2 linked regions of the Neurospora crassa OR74A genome follow. The protein of the gene in region 2 purifies or fractionates together with the protein of the main gene of each other region. This does not show direct contact. Links are inferred from orthologs where the notes say so. Each region holds a gene or a part of one and is shown on either strand. Other genes may lie near its edges.

What was found.
Region 1: the proteins of NCU04508 (region 2) and set-2 purify together in Saccharomyces cerevisiae (affinity purification with mass spectrometry; 3 studies listed by BioGRID). This does not show direct contact. The link is inferred for Neurospora crassa OR74A from reciprocal best matches to the Saccharomyces cerevisiae genes RPC10 and SET2.

Annotation. Positions count from the first base shown.
Region 1 is NC_026503.1:3,235,649-3,246,783, forward strand, and holds set-2 (histone-lysine N-methyltransferase), read left to right. Parts: upstream 1-824; 5' UTR 825-1,550; coding exon 1,551-1,962; intron 1,963-2,075; coding exon 2,076-3,676; intron 3,677-3,741; coding exon 3,742-4,593; 3' UTR 4,594-5,336; downstream 5,337-11,135. Other genes in the region: NCU00270 (hypothetical protein), read right to left, coding at 7,052-7,723, 7,847-8,386; NCU00271 (hypothetical protein), read left to right, coding at 9,521-9,730, 9,814-9,823, 10,112-10,308. UniProt on the Saccharomyces cerevisiae protein: Histone methyltransferase that trimethylates histone H3 'Lys-36' forming H3K36me3. Involved in transcription elongation as well as in transcription repression.
Region 2 is NC_026504.1:3,135,528-3,147,493, reverse strand, and holds NCU04508 (hypothetical protein), read right to left. Parts: upstream 5,380-11,966; 5' UTR 5,049-5,379; coding exon 4,846-5,048; intron 4,759-4,845; coding exon 4,734-4,758; 3' UTR 4,290-4,733; downstream 1-4,289. Other genes in the region: NCU04506 (hypothetical protein), read right to left, coding at 83-1,351; NCU04507 (ATP binding protein), read left to right, coding at 2,869-2,941, 3,017-4,143; NCU04509 (HIT domain-containing protein), read left to right, coding at 6,009-6,713; gcy-3 (aldose reductase), read right to left, coding at 6,873-7,274, 7,350-7,836, 7,916-8,007; NCU04511 (bud site selection protein 7), read right to left, coding at 8,803-9,342, 9,408-10,381, 10,441-10,721, 10,781-10,911, 10,983-11,109, 11,205-11,227. UniProt on the Saccharomyces cerevisiae protein: DNA-dependent RNA polymerases catalyze the transcription of DNA into RNA using the four ribonucleoside triphosphates as substrates.

The sequences.
Region 1 (11,135 bases), on a different chromosome or scaffold from region 2:
AGAGCGCCACGCAATTGCAGCAGTTTCGCATTCCGATGGAAGAGGGGGCACGATATGTGGTTGTTGTTCCACAGATGGCGATGGCCGCACAGGTTGGGACGGAAACGCCAGTACAATGCAGACCCTTTGGGCTCATATAGGTTGTCGGACGTCATCGGTGTTGAGACGTGAAATGACATGGAGGGTTGGGTTTAGCATATCCGGAACCTAGATCCTAAGCTTCCCCATCCGGATATCCCCAGACTCCCGCTTTGCTCGAGGCATTCTCTCTCTCCATCACGAGTCCACAGTGGACGAGACACTTGACACCAAGGCCGCCCAATTCCGGACCGTTCGCAATCTTAATTGAATCTGAAGACAAGCCTTCACCCATGTCGAATGGCTGAAAAAATCGCTGCCCAAGGCCGATACTTCCAACGGCAATGTCCATTGATGTGATGAAGTGATGAACTTTTTGCTGGTCGAATGGGAATTCCATGCCATTGCGCCGCCAATTGATGGTGGGGTCAGCATAGCCTTGCCAGCTGCCGAATGCCAATTGGTTTTCAGCTGCCGGGCCGTCGTGGGCTGCCGAGGCTGCCAAAAGCGAAACGCAGAAGTCTGTAGTCTGCGGCAGGCAAGACCAATGAGCACCGGCACAGTGCCGGACAGACCAGCCAAGGTGGACAAGCTCACGGTGGCACGGCCTCAGCTGGATTGCCTGCCACAAGCCGACTCCAGTGGACTGGACTTTTGAATGGCGATCTCTTTGACCATGCGCCGATACCAATTGGCAGTAGCGCCAGACGCCGCGAACGAACAATTCCCATTGCTACGCTCGTCCCCAGACTCTCAGAATTCTGACTGCAACTGGCACAACGCCGAGAAACAGCGACTCCCTCTCTGGTTCGGACCTGCGCGTCGTCTGCCCCAAACAGCTCCCTCTTGCGTCCACCGTCGTCGCCGACCCATCGATTCTCTCTTTGCCCCGGGCCATTATCCAACAGTCAACAACTGAATAATTGCTTCAGCCCATCTGAAGCGTGGCAGTTCGTCGCCTCCAACCCTCTCAGCATCCGAGTCGCCAGCCAGCGGTCCAGTCGCAGTTGAGCATGCTGTCGCAAAGATCAAGGAGCCAAGACAAGAACACCGCAACGGCAACGGAAGAATAACGGCACCAGCGACCGGCATCCTTTTCCTTCCCTTCCTCTCCAACGAAAGCACCACGAAGCACCACACGCTTTGCTTTAGCCGACTACACAGGTACTCGGCCACATCAACTTGCATCATTCTGCCGCTGAGACGAGACGTCACCTTCTTTTCAGCCCGTCGCTCGCTCCACTCTCACCTTCTCATGACCTTTGCGCCTAATCCTACCGACTCCGCCGACCGTCTCCTTTTCCCTAGGTTGCCTCCTCGATCTGCACCTTCTTAGTTTTTTCCTCGACTGCGACCTTCGTACAGCAAACGTGCGCCAAGTGCCCTCGACACACAGACACACAACCGAACCATTACTCACAGTCCCTTATTCGGGTGCGCGCAGGGCGACCCCAGCTGCTGCTGCATCCACCATGGAGGACGGCCATCACTCACCGGATTCGACCAAGGAATCAAAGTCGGAGGAACACTCCAAGATGAACGGCTCCAAGCTAAAACGGGATGGCGCCAGCAACGCCGGCAATGCGGCCACGCCAAACGGCTCCCAGACCGGAATCTCGAGACCCCCAAGCATGTCGCCCGACGAGCACAAGGCTGCGAGTGAGAGCACAGCAACTCCCAGCGAAAATGTCCCGACACAAAAGCCTTCGCGAAAGGCGTCTCAGAAGAACATGAAGAGGGAACCGGTGCTCTTCAACCATCTCCCCGACGTGAGGGAAGAGGCATGCACACATTTCCAGGTCATTCATGACTGTCTCTATGGCTCAAAGAACATGGGTGCATCCGAGCACGATGCGTTGGATTGTGACTGTGCGGAAGAATGGCGTAAGTGAAAATATCTTCGGCGTCCCCTTGCCGCTAGCGTCATGTCCCCTCCGGCCCGCCCGCCCGCCGACACCCCCCCTTAACCGAATACTGACACCTGGCTCATCGTATAGGCGGTGATATGAACCATGCGTGCGGGGAAGATTCAGACTGTATTAATCGGGCCACGAAAATGGAGTGCGTTGACGGCGATTGCAACTGTGGTAGCGGATGCCAGAACCAGCGCTTTCAGCGAAAACAGTACGCCGACGTATCGGTCATCAAGACGGAAAAGAAGGGGTTCGGCCTCCGGGCAAACACGGATTTGCAAGTTAACGACTTCATTTTCGAGTACATTGGCGAGGTCATCAACGAGCCGACATTTCGCAGCCGCATGGTCAAATACGACAAGGAGGGCATCAAGCACTTCTATTTCATGTCACTAACCAAATCCGAGTTTGTTGATGCCACTAAGAAGGGCAACCTCGGCAGGTTCTGCAACCATTCGTGCGATCCTAATTGCTACGTCGACAAGTGGGTGGTTGGTGACAAGCTGCGCATGGGCATTTTTGCGGGGCGCGCAATCAAGGCTGGTGAGGAACTGGTGTTCAACTACAACGTGGACCGCTATGGCGCCGACCCGCAGCCTTGCTACTGCGGTGAACCAAACTGCACCGGTTTCATTGGCGGCAAAACGCAAACAGAGCGTGCAACCAAACTGCCGCCTGCCACCATCGAGGCGCTTGGTATCGAAGATGGAGACAGCTGGGACACGGCGGTGGCGGCCACCGTCAAGAAGCCCCGCAAGAAGAAGGCTACCGAGGACGATGAAGAGTACATCAACCGCTTCGAGCCTCGTGGCCTCGATGAAGAGGGTGTCACCAAGGTCATGGCCACGCTCATGCAGTGCAAGGAGAAATGGATTGCCGTCAAGCTGCTCGGCCGCCTTCAGAATGCCGACGATGACCATGTCCGGAACCGGGTTGTTAAGATGCACGGATACCAGATTTTGAAGACAACCCTCAACACCTTTAAGGAAGACACCAATGTCGTACTGCAGATTCTCGATATCCTGTACCAACTCCCCCGCATCACCAAGAACAAGATTACCGATTCCAACATCGAAGCCGCCGTCGAGCCCCTCACCCATTCCGACCATGAGGATGTCGCGTCGCAGTCCAAACGATTGCTTCAGGAATGGAGCAAATTGGAGACAGCCTATCGCATCCCGCGCAAGAAGCTCGACCCCTCCGCTCCCGTAACCACAAATTCGTTTGAGGATGACCGCCGCAACGTCAATCATGAGGAGCATCCCTCAAGACCTGTCAATCCGTTCGAGAACATGGTTGTGCCCACGGGTCCCCGCAGCAACATTCCCCAACGGAACATGAACTACTTCAACAACCAGAGACCACGCAAGCTTCCAACGAATCTTCCTGCAGGATGGTTTGTCACCACTGACAGCACAGGCAAATACTACTTTTACGACAAGAGCGGCCATACCCAGTGGCAGCGACCTACAACGCCTGCTGTCGACGTGCCCAAGCCCTCTGCCAAGGTGGAACAAAACCAAAAGGCTCTGCAGGATATCATCGACAGTTTGACCAAGGAGCCGACGCCCCGCCATTCTGCGAACCAAACCCCTAAATCTAACACACCCGTGCCAGACAATGGTAAGAAGGAGAAGTGGAGGTCTCTTCCGGTTGAGAAACAGATGAAGATTTACGAAAACACGGTATGTCCAATCCCGGAAGCCAACTGCCCCTCCTATTGCGGTGACGCTAAACAAAGTACTTTCAGCTCTTTCCTCATGTGAAATACGTCATGGACAAGTTTCACCGAAGACTTCCCAAGGAAGACCTCAAGCGGTTTGGCCGTGAGATCAACAAGAAACTGGTTGCTTCCGACTACAAGAACCACCGTGTCGATGACCCTACGACCATTTCCTCCAACCAGGCAAGGAAGATCAAGAAATTTGTCAAGGACTTCTTTGATCGTGCTGTGGTCAAGCACAGGGAAAACGAGCAGCGCGCTGCACAGAAAGCCGGGCCATCATCTTCCGGCGCCCCATCGCCTACCAACGGCGGTTCAGCCAAGTCACCACTTGGCCGTAACGGCGCCAGCAATGCCACCGTCAAGACCCAGCAGCCCGACGCCGATGGCGATATTGTCCTTACAGACGTGGAGGATGAGGGCGAGAATACTCCTGCCACCTCCAGCTCAGACCGCAAGAGGAAGCGTGCGGAAGAGCAAGAGGTTCCGGCGCCGGCATCCGAAGCGATACCTTCACCGAAGCGAGCCAAGGAGGACTCGACAACCGAAGACTCGATCCCCAGCCCTCCGCCCCCTCCGCCGCCGCCGACAGATACTCCACTCACCGAAGAGGAGCGATCAATGCGCGAGCAAGAGGAGGCCTTAATGAGGGAGAACGAAGAAGCGCAGAGGCTGGAGGACGAGGAGGCCGAGCGCCGGGTGAGTGTTACTGTTCAGGGAGCGGCTGTCGCGACCAGCAAGGTGAACGGAGTAAATGGGACCAAGGCCCACCATACCTCAGAGGCATCACCTGCTGTTTCCGATGAGAATGGGATGGACGCTGGTCGTGATGAGAAGAGTCATGAGCAAATGGCACAACAGGAGCCCGTCAGTCGTTAGCTATCTTTTATAAGTTCTTTTTCTTTCCTTTTTTTTTTTTTTATCTTTCTTCTTTCTTTCTTCTTCCGGGTGTGTGGAAAAGAGTCCAATGGTTGTTGAAAGCAAATCATGGACAGAGAGGCACAGTTCAAGGGAAATGCTTGAATGGCTCTTTCCTTATCGGTTCGTTGCATGAAAAGGTTACCGCCTAACCGCCCTGGAATCATTGTTGGCTGGTTGGCATTAGAAAAGTGGTTGGTTTGGTGGGTACTCGTTTATCCGGTTCATGTTGGTGGGTCGGTTGGTCGGTTGGTCATATATCCAAAATCGGTCGGTACACGGTCCAAAGGGTTGATGGTTTCCTGAGTTATCATTCTCAGCACGTCTAATGTCCGAGGAAAGGTGGACGAACAGACAGACAGGCATGGACTCTTGTTATTGCTTTCCTACGATGTTCCACTTTCATCAGCAACAAGTTTATCTTTATATTCAGGTCTAGATCGATGACGGATTGGGTGATGGATGTGCCGGTGCTGGGGACAATTCGACAGTCATCAACATATAGGCGGTAGGCTACTATAATTGGTGGACGAGGGGTACCAGTATTGCTGGCTGACTTTTCAGTCATGGACACACACGCACCTGCCCCCTTGTATTGCCTTGGAGGAATTTTTTTTATTGGTAGAGAACGCAATACCGCATTTTGACAACGGACGTGGTCGTGATGGTGGTGGCGACACTGCTGGTGGTGGTGGCGGTGGTGGTGGTGGATTGACACACACACACACACACAAATGATAGCAGATACATCCATCCTCGCTACATCCCAAACGGCCGGGCAGCTTCTGGCAGCTGATCGCTGGAGGAGCTGGTGTTGAAAAAAAGTATATCTACAGGAACCATGATACAGGTGGACTTCACAGTGAAGATATCTGCCAATAGCAGACGTGTGGCTACAGTGGACCTGGGTGGCAGATGCCTACTTGGTTGCTTGTTTCAAACTCATACAGAGCTCCCTCTTTGTCTCACCAACTCCTTTCCCTCTCCCTTTTTCTTTTCTTTTCTTTTCTTTTTCGTTGCTCTCTTTCTCTTTCTCTTTTTAAGGCGTTAGGTCTCAAAAACAAAATGGGAATCGGAGATATGGAAAAAGCATTAATCGGCAACGGCGTTTATTATTATTTTTTTATTATTATTTTTTTTATTTTTTTTGGGAAGTACCCGGAGTGAGATGAGAAACAAAGGCGTTCGTTCGCGTTTTTGATCTTGCCTATATATGTACACAGTAGTAGTTCCTTGTGGAAATCTATCGCATGGCATTGTTGTTTTCATCACTTGCGGTTTGGGTTTCTCATGGTATTCATTGTTATTGTTTTGCTCTTCATTAGGGGCAAGCAAGCGAGCCAGCAAGCAAGCAAGCAAAGTGGTAAACAGGCAGCCGGACTGGAACTGGACAGACGGGCGAGTGCAAACTGGTGCGAAAAGGCACATGGCAGAAGATAAGTAGGAAAGAGATAAAAGACATAGTGGGAAACTTGGACTCCGTTTGGCGAACTGGGGGGATATAATAAGCTAGAGAGAGAGGGAGACATCGATACGCTTGCCATTTCGTTGTACTCACGGCGATTGGGGATGTGATGTGGGTTGAACGAGGGAATATACCGCTGTTTGATAACATGGAATCTAGAAAATATTCTCTCATGAGTAGAACGTATTTGACAACAATGTTATTGGGTGGATACGGGAATTTTCGGGGGACAGTCTGATCATAGCGGTGAAGTCTTTTCGCTCGCTCGCTCGCTCGTGCTTGTAAGCATGAGCTCTGCGAAGATCTCGGTGGATCTTCGTCTACTTATTCACGTAAACACAAGTTTCAAACGTACTCGGCTCTTATGCATATCCGACGAGGCAACACGACCAAGTAATGGAACGTGAAAATTGCAGACCGTGAATCAAGAGCGTTTTGACTGGCAGGTTGTTCAACTAATCTGTAATTGGCTATATGTTTCCCAGAGAAGGTAGATGGTGATCATCCAAGAGGTTGCTAATATTGGAATATATCCATGCAAGAAAAAGAAAAGGGTATCTATCAAGCGCCGTCTCCTCAGGTCGTTAAAAAAAGGTATATCCAAGAACCAGAACCAAATTACCAGAGAAAAGTCAAAAGCCGCGACCAAAAACCGGGTCGTTTTTCCGTCAATCTTTATCTTTCCCACTCCTTTGCTGGCTTTCGACGCTGCTGCTGCTGCTGCTGCTGCTGCTGTAGCACCGTAGTGTAGCCTCCTAATCCTATCCCATCCGGTCCAGATCCAGAGTATCATGCCCTTCCTCCCCTCATATGTACCTATATATATACCGTTGATTATCATTAGACAAAAAGCCATTAAGTGTTGTTGTGTTTGGTTCCGTCTCGACGAGCATTACCTGCCTGCCCTCTTCGAAACGATCAGAGCAGCTCCATCATTTCAATTCTCATATCATATCATATCAACCACACCAACCCCGCCACCACCGTCGTCAAAACCGGCACCACCACCACCCCCAGCTTCCTTGACCCCAATGTGACTGCTGCACCACCGCCGCTCGTTGACGACGACACTATCTCCTCGGGCAATGTCTCATTAGCAAACCCCACGCCACAAACCACATTCACCATCTTGGCTGCCTGCACATAAACTCCCGCCACGGGCTGCTTGCGGTCGGCGGCAGCCGCATGATAGACCTGCATCGTCTCCCTCAGACACCCATCGCAGGTCGGCACCGTCGACCCGGGCAAACTGACATTCAGCGCCAGGTGATAGACATAGACGGAGCTAGGGTTGGTAAAGTTCATGACGGCGTTTGCGTAGCAGTATCCTTCGACTACTTCTGAAGAAGAAGAAGAAGAAGAGGAGGAGGAGGAGGTGGTGGTGGTGGTGTCTTTCAGACAGGTAGCCGAGCGAACGGGGGCGTAGGCGATCATGGCGACGTACGCGTCGCGGACGACGGTGTGGCCGGCGCGGAACTCGGCGCCGCAGTTGGCGTCCGAGATCAGGTCGGAGGCGAGCGAGGAGAGGTAGGAGGTGCAGAAGTTGGCGTTGGGAGAGCACGAGGCGTCGAGGACGCGGGTGAGCGAGACGAGGGAGCGTTGGGCTTGGAAGAAGGATTGGGAGCCCTGCGCGAAGGGGAAGGAAGGGATGTTAGTTATTGTATGATATGGATAATAGGAGAAGAGAAGGACAACAACAACAAGAACAACAACAACAACAACAACAAAAGCGGGGAACGTGGTACACACCTGCATCAATAACGAGATGGGGTAGCACTGGTTGAAAGTCTGGTTGTTGAGAAAAGAGTTGAGAAAAGCCGGGCAGTTGCTGTTGGGACCAAAGTTGGCGGATAAACTGCCGTCAAAGAACTTGGGTAGGGAGCTCGATACGGCGGCGGTCTCTTCGGCCCGGGCGGCGGTGAAAGTGGAAGTAGTACCCGTGGGTTTCTCGGTGACGGTAGAGACGGCGATTTGGAAGGTGGTTGTCACGGAGCCGGATGCCACGGAGGTGATTTCCTTTTCCTCACGCTTCCTCAACCCTCCATGCTTCAACTCCGCCTCCTCCGGTGATAGCAAGATCCATTCTCCTTCATCGATGGTTGGTGGTTCTGAGGTGTCGATATCCAACGGTGCATTATTGAAGTCGATGGAGTCGCTCAAGTCATCCTTGATTTCGATAGCCAGCGCCCGCGCTGTTACCTGGCTGACAAGGCAAAGCAGGACGACTAGGGTGACGACAACCCATTGAGTCTTTTGTGAAGAACGGGAGGTAAACGAGTACATGATCATGTCACGGCTGTAACAGAGTGTCGTAGCAGTTGGTGGTACATTACTCTGTGGAACAACACAGATGTCGAGTTGTAGGCTATGTAAAAACGAAGGACTGAAAATTTCCTGATCGGCCGGGTCAGACAGACAGATCGGTGTTAGGGCGCGTATGTCTCGGTATGGTTTAGTCGATCTCCCTTCGTATGTTGATGACCAGGACGGGGGGGTTAAGCGATGAGAGCAGCGAGCGAGCAAGGGAAGCGCAAGTGGGGATGTCTTTCCCGTCTTTATATCACTGCAGCGGTCCAGTTCCTCGTAGGGAGACCGGGGAGTGATGGGTGATAAATGGCGCCGGCCCAACAAGGCGGGATGGGGGTGAGGAGGAGGAGGAGGAGGAGCTAACAATCCAATGTTGGCATCTGTCTGGTCCAGTCCAAAGGCAGCGTCCCGTGGGCTCTACTTAGAAGAAAGGCCCAAGGGCGGGCGGGATCAGGGAAATGGTCCGATATGGGTAGGCGGGTAAATATAAGACGAGGAACAGAACAATGGGACACCAATGGGGACGAAGAACCGGTGCAATGCCGACGGTGGTTGCAGAAGCAGTGCAGAAAAAAAAAAGGGCGTAAGGTCTGCGGGTGTTCTGGCCAGAATGGAAGCTGGGGGCGAGCGGAGTGCGGACACTTGGTTCGCCCGGATGGATGGTTGGCTCGGCTGCGGAGATGAATAATGGTGTTGAGAGCAGGGCAGAGCCATGTACCCTGTCCTGTCTGTTGTTGTCCACCACGTTGAGAGATATTATAGAGGGAGAAGAGAAATGGCTCGAAGGAAAACAACTGAAAGAGGGCTGAGAGGGTTGGAAGAGGAAATTAAACAAAAAAGGCAGTCGGACAAGTGCTAATGTTCCCATTGGGGGTGGCACTACACTAGTGCTGTGCGTAAAAGCTGCTACTGTAAAAGATCTGGGTCAGGGGTAAAGTGGCAGAGAGGCCAGCCCCAATGCTTCTTTGTTGACGGTGGTGTGGTGTTTTTTTTGAGGCGTTGTGGCTGTCTTGTTGTGTCCCTCTGTGCCGTCCTCGAGCTTCGACAACCTTCTCTCTTCACTAGTTCGTTCCAAGACGTTGAATAAGCCGACCATGGTGGATGCTAAGCCCGGTGATGGCCTCGAGGGTGTTTTACTCGAGAACGGACCTCGATGTTGAGACAAGCAGAGTGGGATCTCTGTCTCGTACCTTGGAGATGCATGCGGAGTGGAGCAGGGGTGTGGACGACGAGGATGGTCAACAGGGGTCCCGAAAGAGGCCATCACCAACGAACGGGACGAGAGCTTGGACCGCTGGGCTTGGTTACACCGATGCAAGCAAGTGGGTAGGCGAGAAGCGTGGTGATCAATTATTGAATGGCGCATTTTATGTATAACAAAAGGTACGTACACTACATTATATGTATAGGCTGTACCATGTACGTGTAGGTATACATCGATACAGCGTATATAATGCAGGGGACCTGTCTTGCGCATCTCTGTCGCTGTTGCTGCTGGCTGCGCATTGGCTCGGGTACATGAAGCCGACTTTGTGCATTTTATTGCTTCCATCAGCCTTCCATACCTAGCTCTCATTGGGTGAACTCGGTGGACCAATCAAATTTGCTAAAGAGAGGAAAGAAGTCGTAAACGGTTAATGACAATTATTGATGGTGGTTGATTGTGGTGGTTTGGTGGCGTTTGGGTGGCTCTCTTTCAGCCTCCAGATGAGCGCAAGCGACGGGAGGAACGTACGAAAGAAAAGGTTGGGAACAAGTCCCACAACTTCAGTTGTCATCTCATTGGACGAAGCGATGAAAGCCAAAGACGGACGACGGCCCATTCAGCGTGCGTGCGTGCGTGCGTGGAAGTGGTACCTGGTAGGGTTCAGCATCGCATCAACTGGATGATGAACCCGATTTAGATCAGACGCAGGTACAAGCCATCGATGTTCAGTTGACTTCCAGATCGGTGGTTGAGGGGGGCCAAAGATGGAAGAAAAGGCCACCACCTCACTGGCGACCGCAAACCCCAAAGCAGGTACGAGGTGGCACATAAGCGAGATTTGGCTTTTCATCAGCACCTGCTGCCAAGCGAGTGCGTCCGTGCGTGTAAACAAATCGATTTTGTAAGCGAATCCGTCTCCCATCACTGTCGTCGAAGCAATCAATCATCAACACACTTGCTTCGTTGGCCTCGGACTTTTCCCAATTGCACCCCGGCGGATGCCCACAGCGAATAAATACAGTCTTCCATCCGAGGGGGAAATTCTCTCCCAAGTGGAAGCTTCCCATCAGTCCTTCTAGCTCCGTCTGCTGTGTACCTCACACCTTGCCACGTTCGGGTGTTTTCAAGTTCGAGTCCTGTGCTTGCACGACATTATTGGTGCGACAGGACATCTGTCTGATTTTTTTTTTTTTTTTTTTTTTTTTTTTTTTTTTTTTTTTTTGACAAGCCACGGCTTCCTTGTTCTTCCCTTCTTAACATTCCGACTTTGACAGTCGTCTGAAAACGATCCTTCGCACAACAGAGAAACAAAAGACGGAAAAAAGTCTAGACCACCCTCAGCCTCCATTGTAGATCCGGCCGGTTCCGGGGATCAGCAGCACAAAGCGGGAATGATCCTTCTGATCCTCTCAAGTGTAGTGTGGTGGACCGTGGCGCGAGAGAGAGATTCCCAATCTCGCAATCTCGCTGATTGTCTCCCGCCCGTACATAGGTAGCTCGTCAAGGTACCCCGTACCCGTACCC
Region 2 (11,966 bases):
CTGCCTGTCTATCATCCAATGTCAAGCCACATTGGAAAAAAAAAATGAAAAAAAAAAACCTGTTAAATTCGTTCCTGTTCCATCACCTTGTGTATGTGTTCTTATACAGCTGCTGAGCCTGTGGACTGTGTCCATACTGGTTGCCGGGAACTTTCAACGGGTCCACGGGACCGTAATCCGCTGGATTATACGGAGCGTAGTGAGACGGATGCGGGATACGCGGGTCTAATTTCTTCAAAGCCTCCTCCCTGTGCTCCTCGGACGTTTCCTGGTGAGTCTGTAGTCCAAAATTCTTGTCCAAAGCGGGAGACGGGAACCCGCTGCGTAATGATGGGTTCGGGCTTGCTTGTGGCCGGTCGGACGAGTATGACTGACTGGAATTTCGGTTGGAGGATGACAGAGATTGAGGCTGAAGGTTTGATGGGGCGTGGTAGAAGTCGCCTGGCATCTCAATCGGACCATTTGAGACCGGTTCAGGGTTGGTGACAGACAGCTCCTGTGGTCCATTCGGGGTTCCATAGCCGAAAGCAGCTGGTGCCTTTCCGTAGCTGTTAGGACGGTGGTAGGATCCAGGAGTACTTGACCGGTGTTGACTGGGAGTAGCAGATAGCGGTCGCGGGATCTGGTAGGGAATACCGGGAGACTGAGGTGGTGTACCAGAGGCCGATGAGCTGGCAAATGTGGGCGAAAACTGAGGGCCCGGAGAAGCCACCGCCGGTCGTCGGACTGTATTCCTCTTGTCGGCCGGGTTGAACGTCTTCAGCTTTCCGTCCTCGATCATAGCCTGAAGCACGCCAGCATCCAGTAACTCAGCCTTCTTGATGATGCGTCTCACCATTTCCCCACCCGCCTTCTTCATTTGCGACTTGACAAAGCTCATGACAGTGCGACTGCACTTGATCTCAATATCCTCACGGAGATATAACCCATCCGACGGTGCCCCAAGAGCTGATAACCCCATCTCAAGTGGCTCTGGAGGCTCAAAGTTTGGTTGATTACCGGCGATGCGATAGGTGTTGCGAAGGTCAACGTTCATGGGGGCGTATATGTGAGTCTGAAGACCCCACGGCATGTCGTGAAAGCAGCCATTGAACTTGATGGTTGTAGCCCCCATCCTCCCAATTCCAGGCAGAATCGTGACTCGTTCGGTGATCTCATACCATGTCGCATAATACTCGTCTGTTTCTGCATCCTGGGGGGCCGCGATGGGCTTGTGGTCGAGGACAAGAGGGTTAAGAGTAATGACTTCAGAATGAGAATGAAGGATGTCGATGGCCAACTGTCGTGGAATGAAGCCCGGGATGGGCGTGATAACGGTGAAGGCTTCCTTCTTGCGCAACATGGTGGACATTGGATGCTGTGGGTAGATATGTAACACCGATAAATGAAAGTTTATTCACCTCTATAGAGGTGTGGGCAGGGTATAGTAGCCGATCTCCGAAGCCTGGATTTGATGAGTCGCTGGAATTTGGCCCAAGTCGGATGATGAATCTGGCCCTGGTGTGGGACGAGAGACGAAACAAGAGAGGAAGTGGGAGGGAGAGAATTCAAACGGATCTTGGGGGTCAGCTTGGAGTATAATGGATAGAACGTGGTAGAGGTAGGTTGGTAGGGCTGAGTATCATGAGGGGCAGCCTGTGGATGGCCGCTTGGTTCCCGGCCACGCTGCCTCCTGGTAGTGCCGAACAGACGGATCTTGCCATTACGTTTGTGGCTTATTGGACCAACCCAGCTCCCATCACCCACCATTTTGAAGAGAATTTTGACGCAATAAGAGGCCACCGGCTGCGCCCACTCCCCAGCGCGGGACCACCGACCATACGCTTAGCATGGGTTTAGCGGTCATTGGCATTGGTGAATCGCCCCCGCCAGCATCCTGCCTATAGTTCCTGACCTTTTCCGAAGATGACGTGAGACGCCTTTTCTCCCATCGCTTATCCCGGTCTCGTTCAGCAGTATCAAATTGCCACTCGACGACTCCCCGAATTGTCCAAAAAGCATCCGTATCCGGCTTCATTGCTAGGCGTGAAAGGATTAGTTGAAACTGGACAAGTGGACAGACTTCATTGAACAATAGCCTGTGAGGTCGATGAAGCCTTCGGGGCTTGTCTGCCCGCGGCAAGTGCTATGCCATCCAGCCGTTGAGATCCTAAAATATCCAGGCACCCATAATACCGGGGTATAACTTGAAGAGCGGGACCGCCAAGTTACTAGGTCGAGTGTCGACTAGCTACTGCGGCGGTTGAGGGCTGTGGTATTCGCGGATTAACAGCGGCTCGGCTGAAAACAAGAAGCTGTCAAGCAGGCCATATGGGCTTTTGATATAGGCATGATAACAGGGTATAGGTCGCCAACTGATTTAGTTCCAAATTGGTAAAAAGATGATGGATGAGATGCGAGCCGGCCAGATATGGATTGGATGTCGAGGAACATGAAGGCGTAGGTAGTTGGAAGATGAATGGGTGAGAGGATGAAAAGAGACCAATGTCGAGGTTTCAGTCATTTCACTTTGGGGAAAACAAAATGCCAAGCCTTACCTACCCTTCACCCCACCCATGCCTTGATGGATGGAACCTTTCCGCCCGCTACGCCAGGCGATCAATGGACTTTGGTTTTTTTTTGTTTTTTTTTTTCTCTTGCGGTGTTGCCCCTCTGTGGCCCTCGGACATTCACTCCGTCGCAACCACCTATGACCATCCCTACAGCAGTGACCCCGCCGCTTACGACATCCGTGAAACTTTCTTCCCGAGACTCATTACAACACCATCTCTGCGCAAACTGAAATCTGCAACAACTTTGATTTTATCCGACAGATAACACAGAGATCACCAAACGATCTTCCACGCACCCGTGCACAGCTGTCGCACCATGGCTTCGACTTCGGCATCGTCTGCCGCCAAGGCTGACCAGCCTGTTGCCATCGTCTGCGTTGGCATGGCAGGTAGGTCTACGCATGCTCATGTTCTGTGCTTTTCCCAACCGCAAGCGGAATCATCCAGCTGACCATGTTCCCCAGGATCCGGCAAGACAACCTTTATGCAACAGATCAATGCCCATCTCCACGGAAAGAAGGAGCCTCCTTATGTCATCAACCTCGACCCAGCAGTCACCCACTCGCCCTTCGAGAGCAACATTGACATCCGCGACTCGGTCAACTACAAGGAGGTGATGAAGCAGTACAACCTCGGCCCCAACGGCGGCATTCTCACATCGCTGAACCTCTTTGCCACCAAAGTCGACCAGGTTCTCGGCCTGCTCGAGAAGCGCACGGCGCCCAAGCCCGACGACCCGACGCACACGCCCATCAAGCACATTCTCGTCGACACGCCGGGCCAGATCGAGGTGTTCGTCTGGTCCGCGTCGGGCCAGATTCTCCTTGAGTCGCTCGCCTCATCCTTCCCCACCGTCATCGCCTACATCATCGACACCCCCCGGACGAGCTCGACGTCGACCTTCATGAGCAACATGCTGTACGCCTGCAGTATCCTTTACAAGACCAAGCTGCCCATGATTCTGGTCTTCAACAAGTCGGACGTTAAGGACCCGGCTTTTGCAAAGGAGTGGATGACCGACTATGATGCGTTCCAGGCTGCGCTGCAGGAGGACGAGACCAACAACGCGTTTGGCGGAGCGGAGGGCAGCGGCGATGGCATGGGCTCGGGCAGCGGATACATGGGCTCGCTGTTGAACAGCATGAGTCTGATGTTGGAGGAGTTTTACGCACATCTGAACGTGGTGGGCGTCAGTTCGCTGTACGGGACGGGCATTGACGAGTTCTTTGCCGCGGTTCAGGAGAAGGCAGAGGAGTTCAAGCGCGATTACCAGCCTGAGCTCGAGAGGAGGCGCGAAGAAAGGGAGGAGAACAAGAAGAAGGCGCGGGAGAGGGAACTCAACAAAATGATGAAGGGAATGTCGATGGGCGACGCGGCGGGCGACGTCACAGTGGGTGACGTCAATGATAAAGAGGCCCCCGAGCCGTTGAGCACGGACGAGGAGAGCAGCGACGAGGAATATGGTGACGATCCCAACGACGAGTATGACCGCGAGGGATTGCAGGCGAGGTACGCCGCTGCCATGCAGGGCGAGGATGATTCGGTTTTGGCCGACGCAAGTTTTGCAAAGTACCTCCACAGCCAGAGGTGATGAGATTGGCCATTGGTAAGGAAAGGATTTATGGAGCAGTGTTGGCAAGACAAGTGATCGAGAGGGAAGGAGATTTAGCATACAACCGGCGTTTTCAGAGTGATACCATACCAATATTCTATATGGCAAAAAACATGATCAATAATGAGAAGCATCACAGAACGGATCCATCTGATGGTGATAGGTGATGATGACGATGATGAAAAGCAATGCTTTCTTTGTATAAATTCCCACAAGTCTACCGATATTTCCCAGAACGCCGCCATCATGATATTGTGATGAATATGATATCTCCCTTCTTCTGATCACAACAAGCCGTAGGTTCAAGGCTGGGCCATGCTAAGCCACCGCTAATGGTGCAAAATCACACCAAGATATCGACGGTTCGAGTCTCCTACGGTCCCAGCTCCCCTCGACAAATGTTCCCGTTGCCTCCAAGGCTGACTCGGCTCCCGTCCTTGGGCATCAGGACATCCCGGCCGGTCCAAATACGATGAAAACTTCAGCCCGATACGGCATCGAGGAAGAGCGACCCCTTTCTACACCTCCTTTGTTGGCCCCAAGTCGAACAAAGTCGAATAAGAAACCATTTACCGAGCCTCGAACTGAACCATTCTATTACCCCCAGACCGTCGTTAGCATAAGATTTTTCTCTCCCACCTTCTCAGAATCTTCCACCGGGTAAGCCCAAAGAAAACGTACCTCTTGGTGCGCTCCTTATACAAAACACGCGCACCGCACTTCTGGCAACGGATAGGAGCGCCCTTCTCGAGCGGCACGCGGACCGCGCAGTCGCCGCAAGTGTACCACATGACGCTGCTGCCACCGCTGTTGCCGTCGTTGTTAGAGGCACCGGTGGTGAAGCCCTGGGAGTTGGGGACCTGGTATTGCTCGCGGGAAGACATCTTGGTTGTTTGTGTTGTGTTGAGGGTGGTGTGGTATTTGTGGTTTGGGTTTGTTTGTCGTCGGGTTTGCTCGGATAAATTGGATGACGGTTATGCAACGTGTAAGATTGTCTTTGTGTTGAGGCGACGACAAATCGATGTTATGCGATTTATAGCGATATGCGACGATGATGTCGTTCGGTTGATGATGATGATGATGTTGAATATTTACCGGTGGAGTGGTTTGCGACGGACGAGAGGGACGGAGCGCTACCTATACAGGCGACTGAGTTTCAACTGGACGCGAACAACGAAAGGTAAAAAAAGGCGGGACGCTGAGGCAGAAAGTTCCAGACTTTGACAAAGGGTGACAGAAGCAGGCGGCGTTCGGACTTTGCGAATGCAAGTTACCCCTGTCATATCATGATAAATTCTCCACTCTTCTGTGGGTAGCTGTCAGCGCGGCAGGCAATTCCCCCACGTTTTCGGCGGAGTTTGGAGGCCGAGGTTGTTCGCGGCAGCCCTGGCGCCTCACCACTGCACACCACCGGGTCGATGCCCGCCGGCAAGCGGAGGTAAGACAGGGACGGGGAACGGGCCCGGTGCTTCACTTGTGTTTGGCTTTGGGGTCTTTTCAGATGCCGCCCCGGACCTCTCGTCCCGTACTTCACTGAGCTACTATTTAGTCATCAGCTAGAAATCATCATACAAGAGTCATTAGTGGTGTTTCCTTTTCGGATTTGTCACGGAGCAAGGCGTTCTTCTTGATTATTTGTTTGACATTCTGTCGCATTGGTCCTTGGTTACGGGGCGTACTCAGCAAACAATCATTCTCGGCATCATTACATAGCGAGATCAGCTTCACTCCTAGCCCTTGTCGAGATTTCCCTTGAGTATTTCTTCAGTTCAAGTTTAACTCGGGGCTCTTCGACATATACAATCGTTCAAACACATCACTACGTCATACGCCAGACTGCAGCCATGGCCTCTTCAACCGACAAGAAGCCACCAGCAACACCAGTTCCACGCTCCATCGTCCCCGACGCCAACACTTTCGACCCCAGCCTTCCCGCCTCCAAGACAGGCGCCGGCGCCACTAACACCTCATCCTCATCCTCCTCCGATACCCAACCCAACTGTCCCTTCTGCCACATCTCCTCGACCTTCCCCCCCTACCCCCCTACCACCCCCCCTTCTCCCTTCCCCCCCTCCACCTCCACCTCCCCACAACCACAAACCTTCCTCCTCCTCTCCACCCCCCTCCTGATCGCCTTCCTCGACATCATGCCCCTCTCCCCAGGCCATCTCTTACTCTGCCCCCGTCGGCACGCCGCCAAACTCACCGACGTTCTTCCCGATGAAGCCGCCGAATTGGGGCGTTACCTACGGATCCTCTCGGAAGCAGTGACGCGGGCGACGGGAATCAAAGACTGGAACGTGGTCCAGAACAACGGGTCGGCCGCGGCGCAGGTTGTTGAGCATATGCATTTTCATATCATTCCCAGGCCAGGGCTGAGGGAGGCTGAGAGATTTACGAGTACCATGTTTGGGAGGGGGAAAAGGGAGGATTTGGATGAGGACGAGGGGGAGGAGTTGGCGAGGAGGGTGAGAGGGTTTGTCACGGAGGTGGTTAGGGAGGAGGAGGAGGAGGGGGAGAGGGGGCTAAGGGAGAAAGCGAAGCTGTAGGGAGCGGGGTTGGTCGGAACGGATGTCACAGATGTGTGGTCACGGAGCATAGCCAGTCATTAATCTCGAGCGAGCATTTTCTGGTGTCATTATTCATTATTGTTCATCTATGGGGGGAATATCTTGCCAGCATCCTCTTGGCTGCACGGTGTACGACGCTTAGTCGCTGTCGCCAGCACCGAAGAAGATCTTGACAGGCAACCAGTCATCGCCGCAGACCTTGAAGCTGTTCTCCTTGTGAACCTCATCAATCTGAGCAATCTCCTCATCGGTCAAGCTCCAGCCCTCGAGATCAATGTTGGCCTTGATACGCTCCTCAGTGACGCTCTTAGGCAGCACACTCCAGCCCTTCTGGACACCCCATCTAAGGAGAACCTGCTGCACAGTCTTGCCCTTGGACTCGGCGAGCTTGGTGAGGCTGTTAAGCTTGTAAAGCGGCGAGTCGCTGCTACCGAGGGGCGAATAGGCCGAAGCATGAATGCCCTTCGAGCGCAGATACTCGACAAGGTGGGGGGACGGGTTACCAGGATGAAGTTCGATCTGGTTAACGGCGGGAACAATCTGTAATTATATGTGTGAGGTCCTCATCAATTCACAACAAAACTTGAAGAGGAGGAGGAGCACAATCTTGCTTACCTTGGTGCTCTCGGCGCTCAAAAGCTTCTCCAGGTTCTTGACGCCAAAGTTGCTGACACCAATGTTCTTGACCTTGCCGGTGTCAACCAGCTTCTGCATCTCGCGCCAGGTGTCCACAAAGTCCCAGTCGTTGTACACCTCCTTGGTGTTCCCCTTGACAAGACTGGCGGGCCAGTGCATCAGGTAGAGGTCAACGTAGGGGGTGTCCAGGTTCTTGAGCGACGTATCGATAGCCTCGGCGACATGCTTGTGCCAGTCGTTGTCCAGCTTGGTGGTGAGCCAGATCTTCTCGCGTGGGACGCCGGAGGCCTTGATGCCTTGGCCAACCTCCTTCTCGTTGCCGTAGGCATACGCGGTGTCGATGTGAGTATAGCCGGCACGTAGGGCGGCCTCGACGGCCTTCTCGACCTGACCAGGCTTGGACTGCCAGGTTCCGAGGCCAACGGCGGGGATCTCGTCGCCCGTGTTGAGCTTGTGAGTCTTGCTGCTGTTGACAGTTGTAAGCTCGGGTGAGCTTCTTCTAGGGGTTTCTCCTGGCACTTCATCCCCAAAGTAAAGGTACTTACAGAGGAGCCATGGTGTTTGTTTTACTGAAGAAATATCTGGCGGTGTTTGTGATGTTTGGTATTCTGGGAATTGCGCGTGAGACAGGCAACATGAAAGACAACAGAAAGTTTGAATGATTGAGAATCAACGACGACTGGAAGGGCAGTTCAACATGATTTATAAGGCTTGGAGCCCCATCTCTTAGTCAACCCCCACTTTCTCCTCCCACGAACGGTGGAGAGCCGATTCCTATCCGTTCCAATGTAATCTTCTCCATCATTCTGGTGCCTGTTTGTATTACTGTACGAACTGCCTTTGACGGATTGTGGCTCTCTATCCCACGCTTCTACATATGTGATGACGTTGATGGCAACCATAAGGTACCATAGCCCCGCACCTCCGGGGATAACAAAGAAGAGCAACCTAGCTTTATGCAAGTTCCAAGTTCCTGCAGGTTCCAAGGTCGGAGCGCAAACTGGGGGGCCAAACTCCAAATGGTGGGGGGACGCCGCTCTGTGGAGCGGATTGGGGACAACTGGCGCAGGTCCCGTCATAGCTAAGACGGGAAGGACGGGTAGCCCGGCCCGATGACCGGGGCTGGGAATCGCCCCGGAGTCAAAACGGGGATCGCTATAAGCCGGGGTCTTCCCGCCACTCGACAGTCCACAGACCTAAGACTCTATACTTAGGAGTCTAGATAGCATCAACTGGAACTTTCAATGCTTATCATATCTCATCAGGCCGCTCAAATTCTCTATTAATGATAAAACTCGCTATCATACGAACAACTCCGCGACTGCTCTCCATACGCATAGGCATCATGTATACGTCCATACCATGTAAACGGCCATGGTCGTCTCTCAGCCATCACTTCATCAACAGCACCCCAATATCAAACCCCAGCAACCTAGCCGTCGGTCCCGCTGCTGCGGAAAGTAGCACACAACGCCGCATAGTGATGCGTCAAGTCCAGCACGTTCTGTGGCAGGTTGGTCGCCTGGATGATACTCCTGACCTTCACAGCACCCTCGTCCTCGATGAGTGTCCGGATGGTATGTAGTAGCTCGGGTGAGAATTCGCTGTACCACCGATACTGCCAAGTTACCAACCTGATGAGAGCGGCGACACTCTCGCGTGTGCTCTTTTGCTTCTCAAACACCTTGAGAATACCGGTGAGCGCCTTGGGGCTGAAGCGTTGACCCAAGCACGCCCGGTATGCCTCAACCGCTTCGTCCGTATGCTGTAGGCGTTCTGCGAGACTGCCGAGAATCTCCCACTCTTCCGCCGACTTTTTGTACTGCATACTCTGCGCTCTGTACTGAGCCATCTGGGTGCGCCAAATGGTATATACGCGAAGATCTTCGTAAAGAACCATGAACAAGCTGTCTAACCACCGTTCACATAGACGCTTGTTGTTGAGGCGCGAGAAGTGATCCTCGTTATCACCCTATCATGTGTTAGCATCGTGTCCATAGTAAACTGCCAAAGGGAAGCATCGGCTTGGAGACGTACGTTTTCTTCGGCCTTGCGGACTACCTCTGGGTCGATAGCGCTAGGAGGTCTCTCCAGGCCTTCCGTTTGCTCAGCAGCCAAAGTAGCATTCTTCTTTTCGTCCTCAACCTCGTCAGTTTCGGCAGCCTCCTTGGGAGCGGTTTCGCCGTTCGTAGTATGATCCGGGCTTCCACGCAGCGCATCGGTGCTAGCATTGCGCTTGGCAGGGTAAGAGGGCTCCTGCTTCTCGTTTCGATACTCGTCTTCCATAACAAAAACGTTGCTTCTGATCTTGAGAAGTTGATCCCAGCCAATCTTGGCAGTCATCTCGGTGAGAATGCTGTATGCCTGCTTGAACGTTCCCCGATACGCAGCGGCGCGAAGACCAAGCAAACTTGGGTCGACCTGCTCCGAAAACCTCGAATCTGGCTCGCTGTCGATTTCGTCCAACCTGGTCTCTGGGAGGGTCGGTAGGTTAACGTCTTTGGGTTCTGGCATGACAGGCGCATCCTTGTCCTGGTATGTGAACATGGGACACGAGTTGAGGATGGTCAAGGCATTCTCCCAATCCTCCATTGCAACATAGACCTGGGCCAGTCTTGCCCACGTGCCGAACTCACTAGGAGCGGCTATCGTACTTCGGTCTGCACAGCCCAGAGCCATGCGTAGTCTTTCCTCCCTCAGCTCTGGCGTTGGGGCAGTTTCGGCCTTTTTGAGAAGGAATTCGGCCTGGGTATCAAGCATAACGTAATCCATGGGCGATTCCTTGAGGGCCTCGTACAAAACACGGACTCCTTGCACCTCCTCGTTTCCCATGAAGAGCACTTTTGCCAAGAGCGAAGCCACTTCAACGTTTTGCGACCGAAGCTTCTCAAAGAGATTGATACCGGAAGTGTGGCGTCCTGTTGTGGAGAAATACTTTAGGAGGCCGGCTGTCAAGTGGTTAGAGACATTGTTTGGCACCTGCACCACGGAGTCGGACCCAAGTTGCCAGCCTATTATAGGAGAGTCAGTAAATCGCTTGTACGCAGGGTGAACAGCTGGGGAGTGGTACCCCTGAAGAAGAGCTGCTCGGCAGCGCTGAGGAATTTGTGTTCGGTCTCGGTACTGGAAACGGGGTTGAAACGCCGGACGCCCATGATCTTTCTGATTGTCTCGCCGCTTCCATCGTCGGCATACGAGTATGCGCGGAGAACACTGCAGAGGTATGTTTCGAGCCAGAGTTCGTCGGTTGCCTTTCGTTTTTCGCCCCGCTCGTCAACGCAATAACTCTCTACGGAGCCGGGGAAGGGAGCGTGTACGCGCATGTCGACGCGGGAGAAGGCATTGTAACAGCTGGAACGAGCGATTGTTAGGAATAGCCCAGAACGCAGTCGGTCAAAGAGTGGTATTACCAATAAGTTCCTTCGACGGTTTTGGCAGTGGCGGAATTGCCGAACTCCTTGTAGGTCAGGGTGTTGATGTAAGCAGCCAGACTGGCCGAGGAGGACGCGTCGACGCCGGTGACATGGTGATAGACACCATACTGATGGATGCGCAGGTCAGCGATGGCTGTCGTGTTGCATATGGATGAAGTCGGAGAGACTGGTTACGTACGTGCTTTCCGGGGTTCTTCAGGGGCTGCTTGACCAGGTGTACGAGATCGGGGGGGCCAAGCTCCCTGAGAGAGCTCAGAGACTCGGTACGAGTGTCAACCGCTTCATGCAGTATCTCTTCGGTGATCCTGCGTGCAATCCAACATTAGCTTCGGCCTAGGTGCGCTTGGTTGAAGGACCCAAGACAAAGGGTGGACTGTAACTCTAAACGGGAATCACGAACTCGGGGACAGCTGGCGCAACCATGGTGAGGGCGATGGACCGCCAGGCTGCGGCGGGATGTTGATGGTTGGTTTACAGTGGTTAGAACAGAGAGCAGGGAAACTGGAGGCGCAATTGCCTGTGTTGTCGCAATTTGTCGTGTCGCCAACAGTCAGCCGCCCTGTTTGTCATCCAAGGTCGGGACAAAAACGGGGAGTTGATTGACCGAAAAGAGGGATCGTCGACTTGATGGTTCAGCCTATTCACAGCTGTTTTGAGTTGAGGTGTTCGTGGATTGGTGCTTGTCTTCCAAGGGCGGCGGGCAGCGGGTGGGGGATACTCCTCCTGGCTTCGGGCCCGGCCCATTAAAGCCAGCAGTACATGTACACTACCGCCAGCACATGGAAGCTCAGCCCACCTACCCCTACGGCAGGAGCTCGAGCTCTCCAGCTCACCCTGGGCTGCCTGCGTGTCTGGCTGTCCGTCATCGCAACAATGGAAAACAGGGGCAGGCGGGCAGGCAGCTTGAAAGAGCACAGGCCACCGTACACGTCCATCCCTGCCATCCACATCTCATGCACCGCCGGGCGGGCAGCTTCGGTGATGGGAGCTTCTTCTTCCATGTGCCTGCCGTGATGGAGTGTGAACCCTGCTGGCACACCTCCGCATGGAGCACACTAACAACCTATTAATTTACATGGCACCCAGCTCTACGGTAGCGTACTAAGCAGTGTCCAACAACGCAATCGCGTCTCACTTTGGCCCGGGTCGCGACTCTGTCGAC